Linked DNA regions of Oryctolagus cuniculus. The protein of the gene in region 1 purifies or fractionates together with the protein of each later gene. This does not show direct contact. Links are inferred from orthologs where the notes say so. Each region holds a gene or a part of one and is shown on either strand. Other genes may lie near its edges.

Evidence for each region.
Region 2: the proteins of SF3B1 (region 1) and ZRSR2 purify together in Homo sapiens (affinity purification with mass spectrometry; 3 studies listed by BioGRID and IntAct, counting the BioPlex papers as one, with this or other methods). This does not show direct contact. The link is inferred for Oryctolagus cuniculus from reciprocal best matches to the Homo sapiens genes SF3B1 and ZRSR2.

The regions. Positions count from the first base shown.
Region 1 is NC_091434.1:42,849,128-42,855,661, reverse strand, and holds part of SF3B1 (splicing factor 3B subunit 1), read right to left. Parts: intron 5,052-6,534; coding exon 4,854-5,051; intron 4,758-4,853; coding exon 4,656-4,757; intron 3,870-4,655; coding exon 3,690-3,869; intron 2,429-3,689; coding exon 2,342-2,428; intron 1,879-2,341; coding exon 1,608-1,878; intron 1,339-1,607; coding exon 1,193-1,338; intron 1,099-1,192; coding exon 952-1,098; intron 807-951; coding exon 681-806; intron 263-680; coding exon 41-262; intron 1-40. UniProt on the Homo sapiens protein: Component of the 17S U2 SnRNP complex of the spliceosome, a large ribonucleoprotein complex that removes introns from transcribed pre-mRNAs.
Region 2 is NC_091453.1:1,927,433-1,934,709, reverse strand, and holds the start of ZRSR2 (U2 small nuclear ribonucleoprotein auxiliary factor 35 kDa subunit-related protein 2), read right to left. Parts: upstream 4,752-7,277; 5' UTR 4,405-4,751; coding exon 4,364-4,404; intron 3,965-4,363; coding exon 3,885-3,964; intron 1-3,884. UniProt on the Homo sapiens protein: Pre-mRNA-binding protein required for splicing of both U2- and U12-type introns. Selectively interacts with the 3'-splice site of U2- and U12-type pre-mRNAs and promotes different steps in U2 and U12 intron splicing.

The DNA of each region.
Region 1 (6,534 bases):
ATGAAAGTGGCAACTTGCCATAAAAATTAGTTATCATTACCTCTGTGGTCTGTTCTTGGAAAGCATAAAGAATACCATCAATCAGTTGTTCTTCAAGTTTATGATCAATATCTGCTGCTCCCAAGTTGCCCATGATTTTCTCAATTGTCTCCATCACCATTTTTCTGTACTGTTCAGCTTCATCTTTCAGATCATCCACAATCCTGGATATAATTTCAGCTGCACCTACTTTGTTTGCCAACTCCACAGTAGTATCAACTAACTAAAAAGACCAAAAAAAGAGTAATTTTAATATAATATTCTTTAAAGAAAATATGAAAATCAAATACTCTAAGCATACTATTTAACTAGCAAACATGCTGAAAATGGTTAACTCCTATTTATTAAACGCTGATCAAAGTGATCAAAAAAATTTAAATGTTGAGGGCTTTTGCTTAAGGGTAATATTGCATCCATGTTTCATTTAGCCAGACAAAGCATTGAATTTACTAGATAAAGCAGAGTTGAGTATTTGCCCTAGAAGGCAAAATCAAAATAGAAGCTAACTGGCTAATATCCAACTTTCATAACAAAGTATATATAAACTGAGGCCATTCCCCCACCAAAAAAAGGGCAACATGCACTGACTTAAGGATTGGATGAAAGAATTTTTGAAAACTTTTTTCATAATTAAAGTTCACCTGTCGGTAATTTCTTCTATCCAAAGCCATTCTGTGCTGCCAAAAGTGTTTAAAAAAGGGAGGAAGAATCTCTGTCTTAATGTAGTTTGCTTCTACACCATCTGTTCCACAACACTGTTTCACCACCTAAATGGTTAAAAAAATAGTAACAAATCAAAATACAGTACTGGTAACAACATACATTTTTTTCTAAAAAATGCCTTAAAATACCTTGGAGCATAGAACAAACCCAGTTTAGATTAACAAATCCAGAACCATCTGGAACAGTTACCTTCAGCACAATTTTCTTCATTTCTTCATCAGGAGATTGGAATTCTCGAATAAGAATTAACATCACTTCTCTAGTATAGTAGTTGGCATATTCTGCATCCATGAGAGGAATAAGATATCCAATAGCCTTTAAGAAAGCAGCCAAACCCTATTTCGACATAAAAAATACATAATACTTCAATTGTATCACTTTAACTTTAATGAATAGAAATCAAAAGAAAAAATCTAACTAGCATATTTACCTTTCCTCTGTGTTGGCGAATACCCTTCCACAGAGGCTTTAACACAGAGTCAAAAGATTCGATACCATAAGGAGTCGCTGCCTCAGCTAAGGCAGCAATGGCCAAAGCACTGATGGTTCGTACTTTCTGCTGCTCATCCACAAGACCTATAAAATCAATCACAGGTTTTAACTATGCATCAACATTACTTAATTTCTAAAATGTCATCCAGATTCTAGCTTGCTCTAACCATTTAGCCAAACTATAAAATCTGTTCACGTTAGACAGTATTAGGCAAAAGCCAGTAGGAACTACAGCCTGTTAGATGATATCATAAATCCCATCATAAAATAAATGGGCTTATGCAGTTATGCTCAATCAGTAGCCCAAATTTCAGGACATATGTCACATAAAAGACAGTTATATTGCAGCTTACCGTGTTCAATGATTTCAACTAAACTTCTGAGATGTGGCAAGATAGCACAGCCCATCAGAATAGCTATCTGCTGTACAATCTTAATACCAGTGTGTCTTGCTTGCCAGGACTTCTTGCTTTTACACACAGCTTTTAAGAAGGGCAATAAAGAAGGAATGCCCAGGGCAGAGGCTACAACAGCAAAAGCTCTAGCTGTTGTGTTACGGACATATTCATCCATGTTATCTATATCAGGTCTCATGGTAGAGATCATAGTAGCCAGACCAGCAGCCTAAAAAGAAAAGAAAGTATTCATGAGCACAAATACCCTCAACTCTCTCCCATAATAAGATAATCCCATCAATAAGTATAAACTTTCTTCTCTAGAAATTTAACCTAGGGGCTGTGGCTGTGGCAGTGGGTTAAAGCTCTGGCCTGCAGTGCCAGCATCCCATATGGGTGCCAGTGGAGTCCTGGCTGCTAAATATCCAATCCAGCTTCCTGATAATGCACCTGAGAAAGCAGCAGAGGGTGGCCCAATTCCTTGGGTCCCTGTACCCATGTGGGAGACCTGGAGGCACCTCCTGGCTCCGGATCGGCTCAGCTCTGGCTATTGTGGTCATTTGGGGAATGAACCAGCAGATGGATGATCTCTCTCTCTCTCTCTCTCTCTCTCTCTCTCTCTCTGTCTCTACCTCTCTGTATCTCCTTCAAATAAGTAAAATAAATCTTTAAAAAAAATTTAATGTAAATACCTTTGCCAAATTAGAAATAATCTCTCGGCCTTCCACTCTAGCATAGTAATCTTCATCAATCAATAATGGTTCAATGACCACAAGGATCTGAAAAAGAGAAATAGGAAAAGGAACTACATTTTCACATCAATTACTGATGCTACACTCATAACAGAAGTAAACAAAGCAAGCTTATAATTGACAGTATTTTTTAATCAAGGGAGAAATTAAGTGTATTATATATAATTTCAAATCTCAGATATAGATGAAACTTTAAGAACTATTACCCACATAAACTAATACTCAAAAGTTTAAAAAACCATAATTACCAACAGAAAAAAGATGGATTTTAATTCTCAAATAACACAGTTTAGAAATACATCAATTAAAAAAAAAAAAAAACTGGTTGGCTTTGAACATCTTACAAGGGAGTAAATTTTCCCTTTTTACTGTATACAATCAGCTACTTGGGGCCAGCTTTGTGGTGTAACTGGTTAGTTCACTGCCTGCAATGCTGGCATCCCGGATGGGTACTGGTTCAAGTCCCAAATGCTTTACTTCCACTGGCTCCCTGCTACTGCACCTAGGAAAGCAGCGGGAGATGGTCCAAGTACTTGGGCCTGTGCACCTACATCTGAGTCCCAGATGAAGCACCTGGCTCCTAGCTTTAGCCTGGCCCAGCCCCGGCTGTTGCGGCCACTTGGGGAGTGAACCAGCAGATGGAGTCTCTCTCTCTCTCTCACTCTATAACTTTGCTTTTAAAATAAACAAAATATGGGGGTGCAAATGTTGAAATCTTTACTTAATGCATACTAAACTGATCCTCTGTAAAAAAAAAAAAAAAAAAAAAAGAAATTATTAACTCCCAACTTGACTCTGACTGGGATTAAACATGACAATAGGTCTGATCTGATTTCATCATCATTTAAAAAAATCATCTATTATTTTTCACTTTATGTTTCTGTGTGGGAGCAAACTGTTGAAATCCTTACTTAATGTATACTAAGCTGATCTTCTGTATATTAAGATAATCGAAAATGAATCTTGATGTGAATGGAAGGGGAGAGGGAGTGGGAAAGGGGAGGGTTGTGGGTGGGAGGGACGGTATGGGGGGGAAGCCATTGTAATCCATAAGTCGTACTTTGGAAATTTATATTCATTAAATAAAAGTTAAAAAAAATAAAAATAAAAAAATAAACAAAATAAATTAAGGAAAAAAAGAAAAGAATCAGCTGCGTTTTTAGAATTTTTAAAATTTCAATACCACAGACATCATCTGGTGAAAAAAGTCAATTTTTGTGGAATTTCTTTTATATTAAAAAATCAAAATAGTAAACTATTAGAAACACTACTCCAGGAAATCACAAACCTTATGCACATATGGTCGAACGAGGTCATCAAGTTTGTACAATATTCTGTCAATAACTTTCACAAGTAAATGACGCTCCTGATCCTCAAGTGTAGGAGACATCAAGAGAGGAAGAATCTGATTAAACAAAGGACCAGCTCCAAACTCCCGGGCTTTATCAGTAATCTGACGCAATGCAGCCTGAGGGGAAAAGTAGAGAAAAAGGTGGTTTCTTTGTAACAAGCATTTTGAGTGAGCAGTTTACATCAGGAAGATTTTCTACTTTATATTGCACACTTTTACAGTTTGTATAGTGACCTAAGTTTATTTCCATTCAAGCTACTCTGGAACTTGAACTTCTGTAACAGAAAGTTAATTTAAAAAGGGTAATTTAGGGGGCCAGCGCTGTGGCGCAGCAGGTTAATGCCCTGACCTGAAGCGTCAGTATCCCATATGCATGCCGGTTCCAGACCTGGCTGCTCTACTTCCATTCCAGCTCTCTGCTAAGGCCTGGGAAAGCAGAAGATGGCCCAAGTCCTTGGGACCCTGCACCCTCATGGGAGATCCAGAAGAAACTCCTGGCTCCTGGCTTCAGATAGGCTCAGCTCCAGCCATTGTGGCCAATTGGGGAGTGAACCATTGGATGGAAGACTTTCTCTCTCTCTCTCTCTGCCTCTCCTCTCTCTTTCAAATGAATAAATAAATCTTTTATTAAAAAAAAATGGTAATTTAGTAGAAGCACAAGAATATAATATTTCACATATTTCACCAGCCTTAAAGCCTGAAACATATTACAGAGGCCTTAAGGATTTTTAAAAAAAGAATCTCATTTTTTCAACATTCCTATTAATTTAAGATTTTTGGAATAAAAACTAAAAAAAAAACATGCATTTTTTCCCCTTACACTATCCCTGGATAAAAACCAAGAAGGTAACTGTAATTATCTAAAACAAAAAAATATGAACATAATGAGCAACTGGGATTCACCTTTCTCATTGGAGGTGTTCCGTTCTTAATTTTTAAAAGCAACTTCATTATTTTTCTCTCTTTTTGCTCTTCTGGACTAAGTGTTGATTCATCAACATCAACCTATAGAAAGACAAAAAATTTTAAAGGTATGTTGAGATACCATAATTCGAACTCCCAAACCAAAAATATTAATTTCATTATGCTATTATCACTTACCAATAGTTTATCAAAGTACTGAATATCATCAGGTTTTAAAAATGGAAGATTTCCAGATGGCTGATCATTAACACTTTTCATAGTTCTATCTTCAGTTTGCATGTGGAAACCAGTCATACCACCCAATGGTGTTGGAGTTGCTGTCAGCTTTCGAGCTGGAGTTCTGATAGGAACATAACCAGCTGGAGGGGGAAGTACCTAATAAAATTAGAAAGAGTTTAGGTTTGTCCTAGCCTTATGGATTTAAGAACCACATATTGAATAACATTTGCACTTAATGTATTTTACACTTTAATAGCTAGAAAGCTTTTTACTTATTTGGAAAAAATTACTAAATCCTATCCCCTGCTTTTCTATCTTTAATTATGTCAATTTAAAATGTTTATGAAAAATGTTTCCATTTCTCATCTGCTAATTAAAACCAAGTATACCAGGAATGTGAAGGAAATGAGGCTAAAATAAGTGAAAAATTCTGACCACTTTCAAGTATTAGTCTATATAAGTATACTAGTGAATCAACCTGTCAAGTTACTAAACTACTTAGATTTTATAATTTCTAAGTGAGTGAATACAAATAAAGTGCTATAAAGCAAAGTAATATCTAATATAAGTATTCATATAGCAATAATCTTACATTATTATTATACCAAAAAGCATATTTTGGCACCAGAACAAAAGCAAATGCAAACCTATACAAGAACTAATCTTAAGAACTCTACAAAAAATAAGTTAATCGCATTAAAAATTGGAATCAAGATACTTTAAAAAAAAGTCCTGTACAATACATAAACCTTTTGCAAAACCAGTAAAAAAAAATTTTTAATGCAAGCTGAAAACAAAAGAATTTCTATTTTCTTAAAGCTGGCAGAAAGCTTTAAAAACAGCAACAAAAACAACTTCCTGAGCATGTCAATAGGCCTAGAAGTCTTCTCAAATAAGCATACACTATTATCTAAAAGTTTTAAAGCTTAAATTTTACTAAATGTATATTGATACTATCTGTAGTTAACCACTTTTTATTTACTGCTAGTTGTATATGAACCAAGATGAACCAATAATTAACCATTTTCAATAAAGTACAATTTATATGCAGTTAAGAGGCCTTTGAAATTCATGTCCAGTCCACTGATAACAGTCTACATTAAGGACTTAATCTATTTTCTATAATCACTAATAAGGACTTAATATATAATTTATATGAGTATATTAATTAATATAATTATTTAATATATAAAGTATATTGTATATTATATAATATACTATATAATATATTATATAGATGTATAGAATATACTTCTATATTCTTTAAGTTTTTTTTTTTTTTTTGACAGGCAGAGTGGACAGTGAGAGACAGAGACAGAGAGAACGGTCTTCCTTTTGCCGTTGGTTCACCCTCCAATGGCCGCCGCGGCCGGCGCGCCGCGCAGATCCGATGGCAGGAGCCAGGTACTTATCCTGGTCTCCCATGGGGTGCAGGGCCCAAGCACTTGGGCCATCCTCCACTGCACTAAATATATTTCTATATTCTCATAGAGACTTCATAGGTGAAAAACAAAACACACAAAAAAAGCAAGTCACTAGCAGAAGACTCTCTAAAAGTATTAAAATGACAGGTTCTGGCCTTGATCACTGTGAGTGATCTCTTTCGACTGCCTGCCTAGCCTATGCAGTTAGCCTGACT
Region 2 (7,277 bases), on another chromosome or scaffold:
GTGGCTCATTTGGCTGATCCTCCGCCTGCAGCGCCGGAATCCCATATGAGCGCCAGATTCTAGTCCCGGTCAGGGCACCGGATTCTGTCCCGGTTGCTCCTCTTCCAGTCCAGCTCTCTGCTGTGGCCCAGGAAGGCAGTGGAGGATGGCCCATGTGCTTGGGCCCCTGCACCCACATGGGAGGCCCGGAAGAAGCTCCTGGCTTGTGGCTTCAAATCAGCTCAGCTCCAGCCATTGTGGTAACTTGGGGAGTGAACTAGCAAGTGGAAAACCTGTCTACCTCTCTCTGTAACTTTCAAATAAATAAAATAAATCTTTAAAAATAATAATAATAGAGGCCTGCACTGTGGTGCAGCAGGTTGAGGCCCCAAACTGCAGCACCAGCATCCCATGTGGGCACTGGTTTGAGTCCTGGCTGCTCCACTTACAATCCAGCCCCCTGCTATGGCCTGGGAAAACAGCAGAGGATGGCCCAAGTGCTTGGGCCCCTGCACCCATGTGGGAGACCCGGAGGAAGCTCCTGGCTTCTGGCTTCAGATCCGCTAAGCTTTGGCCACTGGGCCCATTTGGGGAGTGATCCAGCAGATGGAAGACCTCTTTCTCTCTGTCTCTGCCTCTCTAACTCTGTCTTTCAAACAAATAAAAAATAATTCTTAATAATAATAATAATAATGGTAGTGGGATAACGAGTAAATTAAAAAATCAATCAATGGTTCCACAGTGATATTCAGAAAGGTGGTGAGGCATGGGAAGGAATATCATTTTCACAGAATGACAACTAAAAAACACAAAAAGACTTAAATAGAAAAGTCACTTTTACAACTCCCACAGTAATAAACTTAAGACATATTTAGATAAAAGCTTGTTGAGAAGAGAATATTTATACCATCTCAAAACATCATCCCACAGATGAAAACTCATTGCAATGGAGAAAATGCACCCTGACAATGGAGCAACACTTTAACCACACTCAGCATCACTAAGAGTGTACAGACTTCATAATGTATGCAACAAGACGTTCACAACATTTGCACTGTAGGACTTGGTCACGAAAAGTGTAACCTTAAGCTATTCATGAGAGGATAGCCTGATGGACAATGCAGGACATTCCACAAGAAAACTAGCTTGAGCTTTTCAAAACAATCAATTCCATTTGGGGGAAGGTTAATGATAGGTTTTATGTGATATCGCTGAATCACTGTGCATTTATTTAGGTACAAGCTTGATATTGTGGGTCTATGAGAGAACATTCTCATTCTTTAGGAGATGCAGGCTGAAGGATTCAGGTATGAGGTGCTGTGACATCTGCACCTGCTATGAAGAGTTCAGAAAATAAATTCCCTATGTATTTATCTCTCCATATAAACAGAGAGGGAGTAAAGCCAGATGTTAACAACTGGCAAATCTAAAGGATTAATGGATATTAATGGATATTTATGATACAATTTTTTTAAATTTTGCCCACTAAGACACTTTAAGAAAAATATAGCTAAATGATTTCTTTTTTTTTTTTTTGGTAACACTGAGACTAGTCCCATTTTTTTTAAAGATTTATTTCTTTATTTGAAAACAGAGTTACAGAGATGCAGAGGCAGAGAGAGAGAAAGAGAGAGAGAGAGATCCATCTTCCATCCACTGGTTCACTCCCCAAATAATCGCAACGGCTGGAGCTGCACCAATCCAAAGCCAGGAGCCAGGAGCTTCCCCCGGATCTCCCACGTGGGAGCAGGAACCCAAGGACTTGGGCCATCTTCTACTGCTTTTCCAGGCCATACCAGAGAGTTGGATCAGAAGTGGAATAGATTGGCCGGCGCCACGGCTCAATAGGCTAATCCTCCACCTAGTGGCGCCAGCACACCGGGTTCTAGTCCCGGTCGGGGCGCCGGATTCTGTCCCGGTTGCCCCTCTTCCAGGCCAGCTCTCTGCTGTGGCCCGGGAGGGCAGTGGAGGATGGCCCAAGTGCTTGGGCCCTGCACCCCATGGGAGACCAGGAGAAGCACCTGGCTCCTGCCATCGGATCAGCGTGGTGCGCCGGCCACAGCACGCCAGCTGTGGCGGCCATTGGAGGTGAACCAACGGCGAAAAGGAAGACCTTTCTCTCTGTCTCTCTCTCTCACTATCCACTCTGCCTGTCAAAAAAAAAAAAAAAAAAAAAGAAGTAGAGTAGACAGTTCTCAATCCGGCGCCCATATGGACTGTCAGCACTGCAGGCAGTGGCTTTATCCACTATGCCACAGCACTGGCCCCCATTAAATGATTTTTAATACAATAAAAATTAATATCATTCCCTATTCAAAACTTAAATTTGAGGAAACAGTGAAAGTGGAGGAAAAATGGATCAGATCTGAAGTGACCTTAAGGGAATGTAACAGGGGCTGGTATTGTGGTGCAGCGAGTTAAGCTACAACACATTCCATATGAGCACCAGTTCAAGTCCCTGCTGCTCCACTTCTCATCCAGCTCCTGCTAATGGACCTGGGAAAGCAGCAGAAGATGGCTCAAGTATTTAGGCCCCTATCACCCACATGGGAGATCCAGATTGAGTTCAGGGCTCCTAACTTTGGCCTGGCCCTGCTCCAGCCATTGTGTGTTGTAGATATTTAGGGAGTAAACTAGTGGATGTAAGATTCTCTCTGTCACTCTGCCTTTCAAATGACAAAAATAAATAAAAAGAGGGACCGGTGTTGTGGTGTAGTGGGTAAAGCCACCACTTGTAGTGCTGGCATCCCTTACGGACACCAGTTAGAGTCCTGGCTGCTCCACTTCTGATCCAGCTCTCTGCTGTGGCCTGGGAAAGCAGTGGAAGATGGCTCAAGTGCTTGGGTCCCTGCACCCAAGCGGAAGACCCAGAAGAAGTTCCTGGCTCCTGGCTTCGTATTGGCCCAGCTCCACCCGTTGAGGCCATTTGGGGAGTGAACCAGCGGATGGAAGACCTCTCTCTCTCTCTCTCTCTGCCTCTACGTCTCTGTAACTCTGCCTTTCAAATAAATAAATAAATCTTTAAAAATAAATAAATAAAAATAAAATCTTAAAAATTGTCTAGGCTAATATAATTAGCATATTTGAATAATCTGGATGGCAACCATTATAAAGCACTACTGCTGTGTGATTTCGGTGACCCCAGCTGCATTTACAACTATTATATAATCTTTTAACTAAATCATAATTTTATTGTATTAAACAGGCAGGTATAATACATAAATGTTAGGTTCTGCCATGTGAAGGCCAAATGACATCATGTTCAGCTGTACAACTGAAGATTCTGCTACAGTTTAATTGAAACAAAACAATAGGCCAACCATCATAGAAGCATTCCAAATTCTCATCAGCATCATATGCATGCTGTAGGGAGCATCTTTCACGTCATCCTAGCATTACATTAATGCATATTTTAATTCTAAGATGTGTAATTTCATTTGGTTTTATAATTTTTAAGTAAATGTATTATTGTATAATCTATTAAATTTCACTAGTTTTATGCTTATAAACACTTAAATAATATAGTAGTTTGAGACCAATATAAGGTTTCTTATTTTACTCAACTGTGAGTAAAAGTTGCAAAATGTCTAACTAAATCGCTGGACTCCTGCTGACTTAACCAAAAAAGAAAAAAGTTTCTTTCACTGACTACTTCCTATGTGCAAGGTTTGTCCTAGCTACTGTAATTCATGCTGACTGCCCCTGTAACATTACTTTATAAACACTGAAGCAGCATCAGTAAGTGTTAACTCTTTGTGACTTTCCCCCTCCGTAATTCGTTAACATTGTTTCTGACACAGCTAACACAGCTGGGAGGCAGGAGCCACAGCCTGACTTCCTTTTGAAAGTGCGTTATGAAGTTAGGGCAGGAGGAAAAGAAGCAAACAGGATAAAGAGTTCACTACCTGAGTCTCTCAATCGCGCGAGTTCCTGCCGCCGTTTCTTTCGTTTCTCCTTTTTCAGAGCTGCCCTGTACTTTTTGTGGCTGGAAGATTGAGATTCACCATCACACACAGCATCAGCGTCAGCGGCCCCAACTGCAGCGCTGCCCGAGTTCGCTCTCTTCTAGGACCAGTTACAGCAAATCGCTCGGGAGAGAAGTCTTGTTCCCCGTTAACTGCAGAACACGGAGCTCCCATGGCTCTGTCCTTCCACGCCCATACTCCAGCTCTTCTCCAACCCGCCACCTGTTCCCCTCCTCAACTCACTGAGCCCACGGACGCCCATGACAGTTCAGCGCGAGCCCCAGAAAGGTTTCGAACTGCTGCGCTGGCTCCCTCGCTTAGCCCAGCTCCTTTCCTTCCTGTGAGTATATTCTCCGTGCCCAGGTTCGGCCCGCTGCATCCCCCTATTTTGCCAACTCACCTCCCTCGGCAGAGCTTACCTACGTTTCTCGGAAAACATCACACTCTCCGGCGCCGCCATCTTTGCCAATGCTGCTCCGCCTTCCCCCTCCCCCCAAGACCTGGCCGGAAAAGGCGTGCTTAAGAGCAGCGGGGGCGCGCGCAGGCGCACAAGGAACAAAGCCTCGGCTCGCGCGGACCCGAGACTCAGGGCATGGGGTTCCTTTCTGTGGCTCGTCTGCCAAAACCCTGTCCAGATAAAGACGTCCTTCCGGAAAAAGTGCTCCGGAGTTCTTTCCCGGCCCTGGAAATTATTCGCTCACAGAGCTTCCCCATTGCTTTCTCACTGTCTCCCTCTGCGCCATGGTGCAATGTCTTGGGCCTCTCCATCTTTCTCATCATCCGTTCCCGAAGCCGCATTCCGCCCAGAGCTGCTCGCGTCGCTTCCCATTGGACTGCCTTCAGGCTCCACCTCCCATCGTGGCTTCACCTATCACTGCCTTACACAAATCCATTCACAACTACTGGCGCCCTAAGTGAACCTAACTCCTGGGGATGCGGAGGTGTAACTTCTGTCCCTAAGGAGTTCACTGTGGGGGCACAGAATAGGACCAGTACACAAATAATATAACATGGTGCAGGCAAAGATGAAGTGTAGTCCACTTGGGGATTCAGGCAATTTATGATGCTCCAGTTTTGAAGGAAGATAGCCTTTAACAAGGTGAAGAAGGGTGGCCATGGGGTTGCAAGCAGATCAGACTAAGTAAGCAAAGGGACTGATAATATTCTGAGAACAGCAAGATATTTTTTTTCAAACAGGCTTAATTTACTGTTTTTCTTGTGTAGCCACAGCTAGAGCCTGGGTCCTCGCACAGACGCTCTGGTGTGGTTCTTTACAAGAGTCAGTGAATTCTTGGTAGTGAGGCTTGGTGAACACTGCACAGCTCAGGGGTCAGATAACTCTAGGTCTTGGAAATGGCATCAAAGGTTGCCGAAGCCCCTTGCTGAGGTGTAGCAGTCATCAATACGAACAGAAGGAATTTTGACAATCCAATATAAACTGCAAATCCAGAGTATCAAGGAATAATGCCGTAGAGATAGTCTGGGGCTAGGAATGATATGCCATATTAAGGCACTTAGATTTGTTCTGTGTAATGGGGGACTCTTGAACGCTTTTAGGTAGTGGCCTGTTGTGACCCCTTTTGTGGTTTAGGTAAATTGTTGTGGTTTGTAGTTTAAAGGATTAAAAGATAAAGCTGCAATACAGTATCACAATAATCTACGTACAAAGTGATGAGGAATTACACTATGACAATGAAAGTGAGGATTGAGAAGGTGAAAACTAGCTCTACTAATATTTGGACTGTGATGTTCACATACAAGGCCCATGTATAAGGCCAAGAAAAAATGTTTCTCTCAAGTACACATTACAGCAGCAAAGTAACTTCTCCCATTTTTTTTGAGTGACTGAATAATGTCCCTGACTTAGCTTTGTTCCTGTCTCCTTCAAATTAAAATTGCTGAGATACCTAATTACTAAATTGCCTGTTTCCCCCCAGCCCCTCCTTAGAATCACCCATCTGATGTGCAAATCTGGCATAATTCCTGCCCTACTGCCTCCTACTGAGACATTTAGAATAACACCTGTTCCCCTTCTTCAAGTTGACCTTGTCCAGCTCAGTGTGTCAGTAATTGGAGACAAGCTTTGGAATATAATCGATTGGGAATTGGCTATGTAGGATCTTAAATATATTCCTTACATCTACTCCTAAATTTTCTCATCTGTAAAAATCAAGATAGTAAGAAGTTCCCATCTTTTTTTTTAAGATTTATTTATTTATTTGAAAGGCAGAGTTACAGAGAGGCAGAGGCAGAGACAGAGAGAAGTCTTCCATCTGCTGGTTCACTCCCCAGATGGCTGCAACGGCCAGAGCTGTGCCGATCCGAAGCCAGGAGCCAGGAACTTCTTCTGGGTCTCCCACTTGAGTTCAGGGGCCCAAGGACTTGGGCCATATTCTACTGTTTCCCAGGCCATAGCAGAGAGCTGGATCAGAAATGGAGCAGCTGGGACGCTAACTGGTGCCCATATGCAATGTCAGCACTGCAGGCAACAGCTTTACCTGCTATACCACAGCACTGGCCCCATCCCCAAATTTATACATAGAAATCCAACCCTATCTTTTTTTGCTACTAAATTTTTACTTAATTGTGGTAAAATTTTCATCTTTACCATTCTTTGAAATCTACCATCTTAGCAGTTTTAAGTGTAGTGTTAAATATAATCACATTCGCCGGCGCCGCGGCTCGCTAGGCTAATCCTCCACCTGGCGGCGCCGGCACACCGGGTTCTAGTCCCGGTCGGGGCGCCGGATTCTGTCCCGGTTGCCCCTCTTCCAGGCCAGCTCTCTGCTGTGGCCAGGGAGTGCAGTGGAGGATGGCCCAAGTGCTTGGGCCCTGCACCCCATGGGAGACCAGGAGAAGCACCTGGCTCCTGCCATCGGATCGGTAAGGTGCGCTGGTTGCAGCACGCCGGCCGCGGCGGCCATTGGAGGGTGAACCAGCGGCAAAGGAAGACCTTTCTCTCTGTCTCTCTCTCTCACTGTCCACTCCTGCCTGTCAAAAAATATATATATAATCACATTCAACAGATCTCTAGAACTTTTTCATTATACAGTACTGAAACTCTGTATCTACTAACAAAAATTCACTCATAGACATCATAGGAGTGGAATCCTACAGTTTGTATCCTTCTGTGACTGGCTTATTTCACTTGGTACACTGTCTTCAAGGTTCATCCACGTTGTACCTTTTACAGGATTTCCTTTTTAAAGGCTAAATAATATTCTTCTGTGTGTGTATGTGTGTGTGTGTGTACACATTTTCTTTTTTTAAGATTTGTTTATTTTATTTGAAAGTCAGAGTTACACAGAGAGAGAAGGAGAGGCAGAAAGAGAG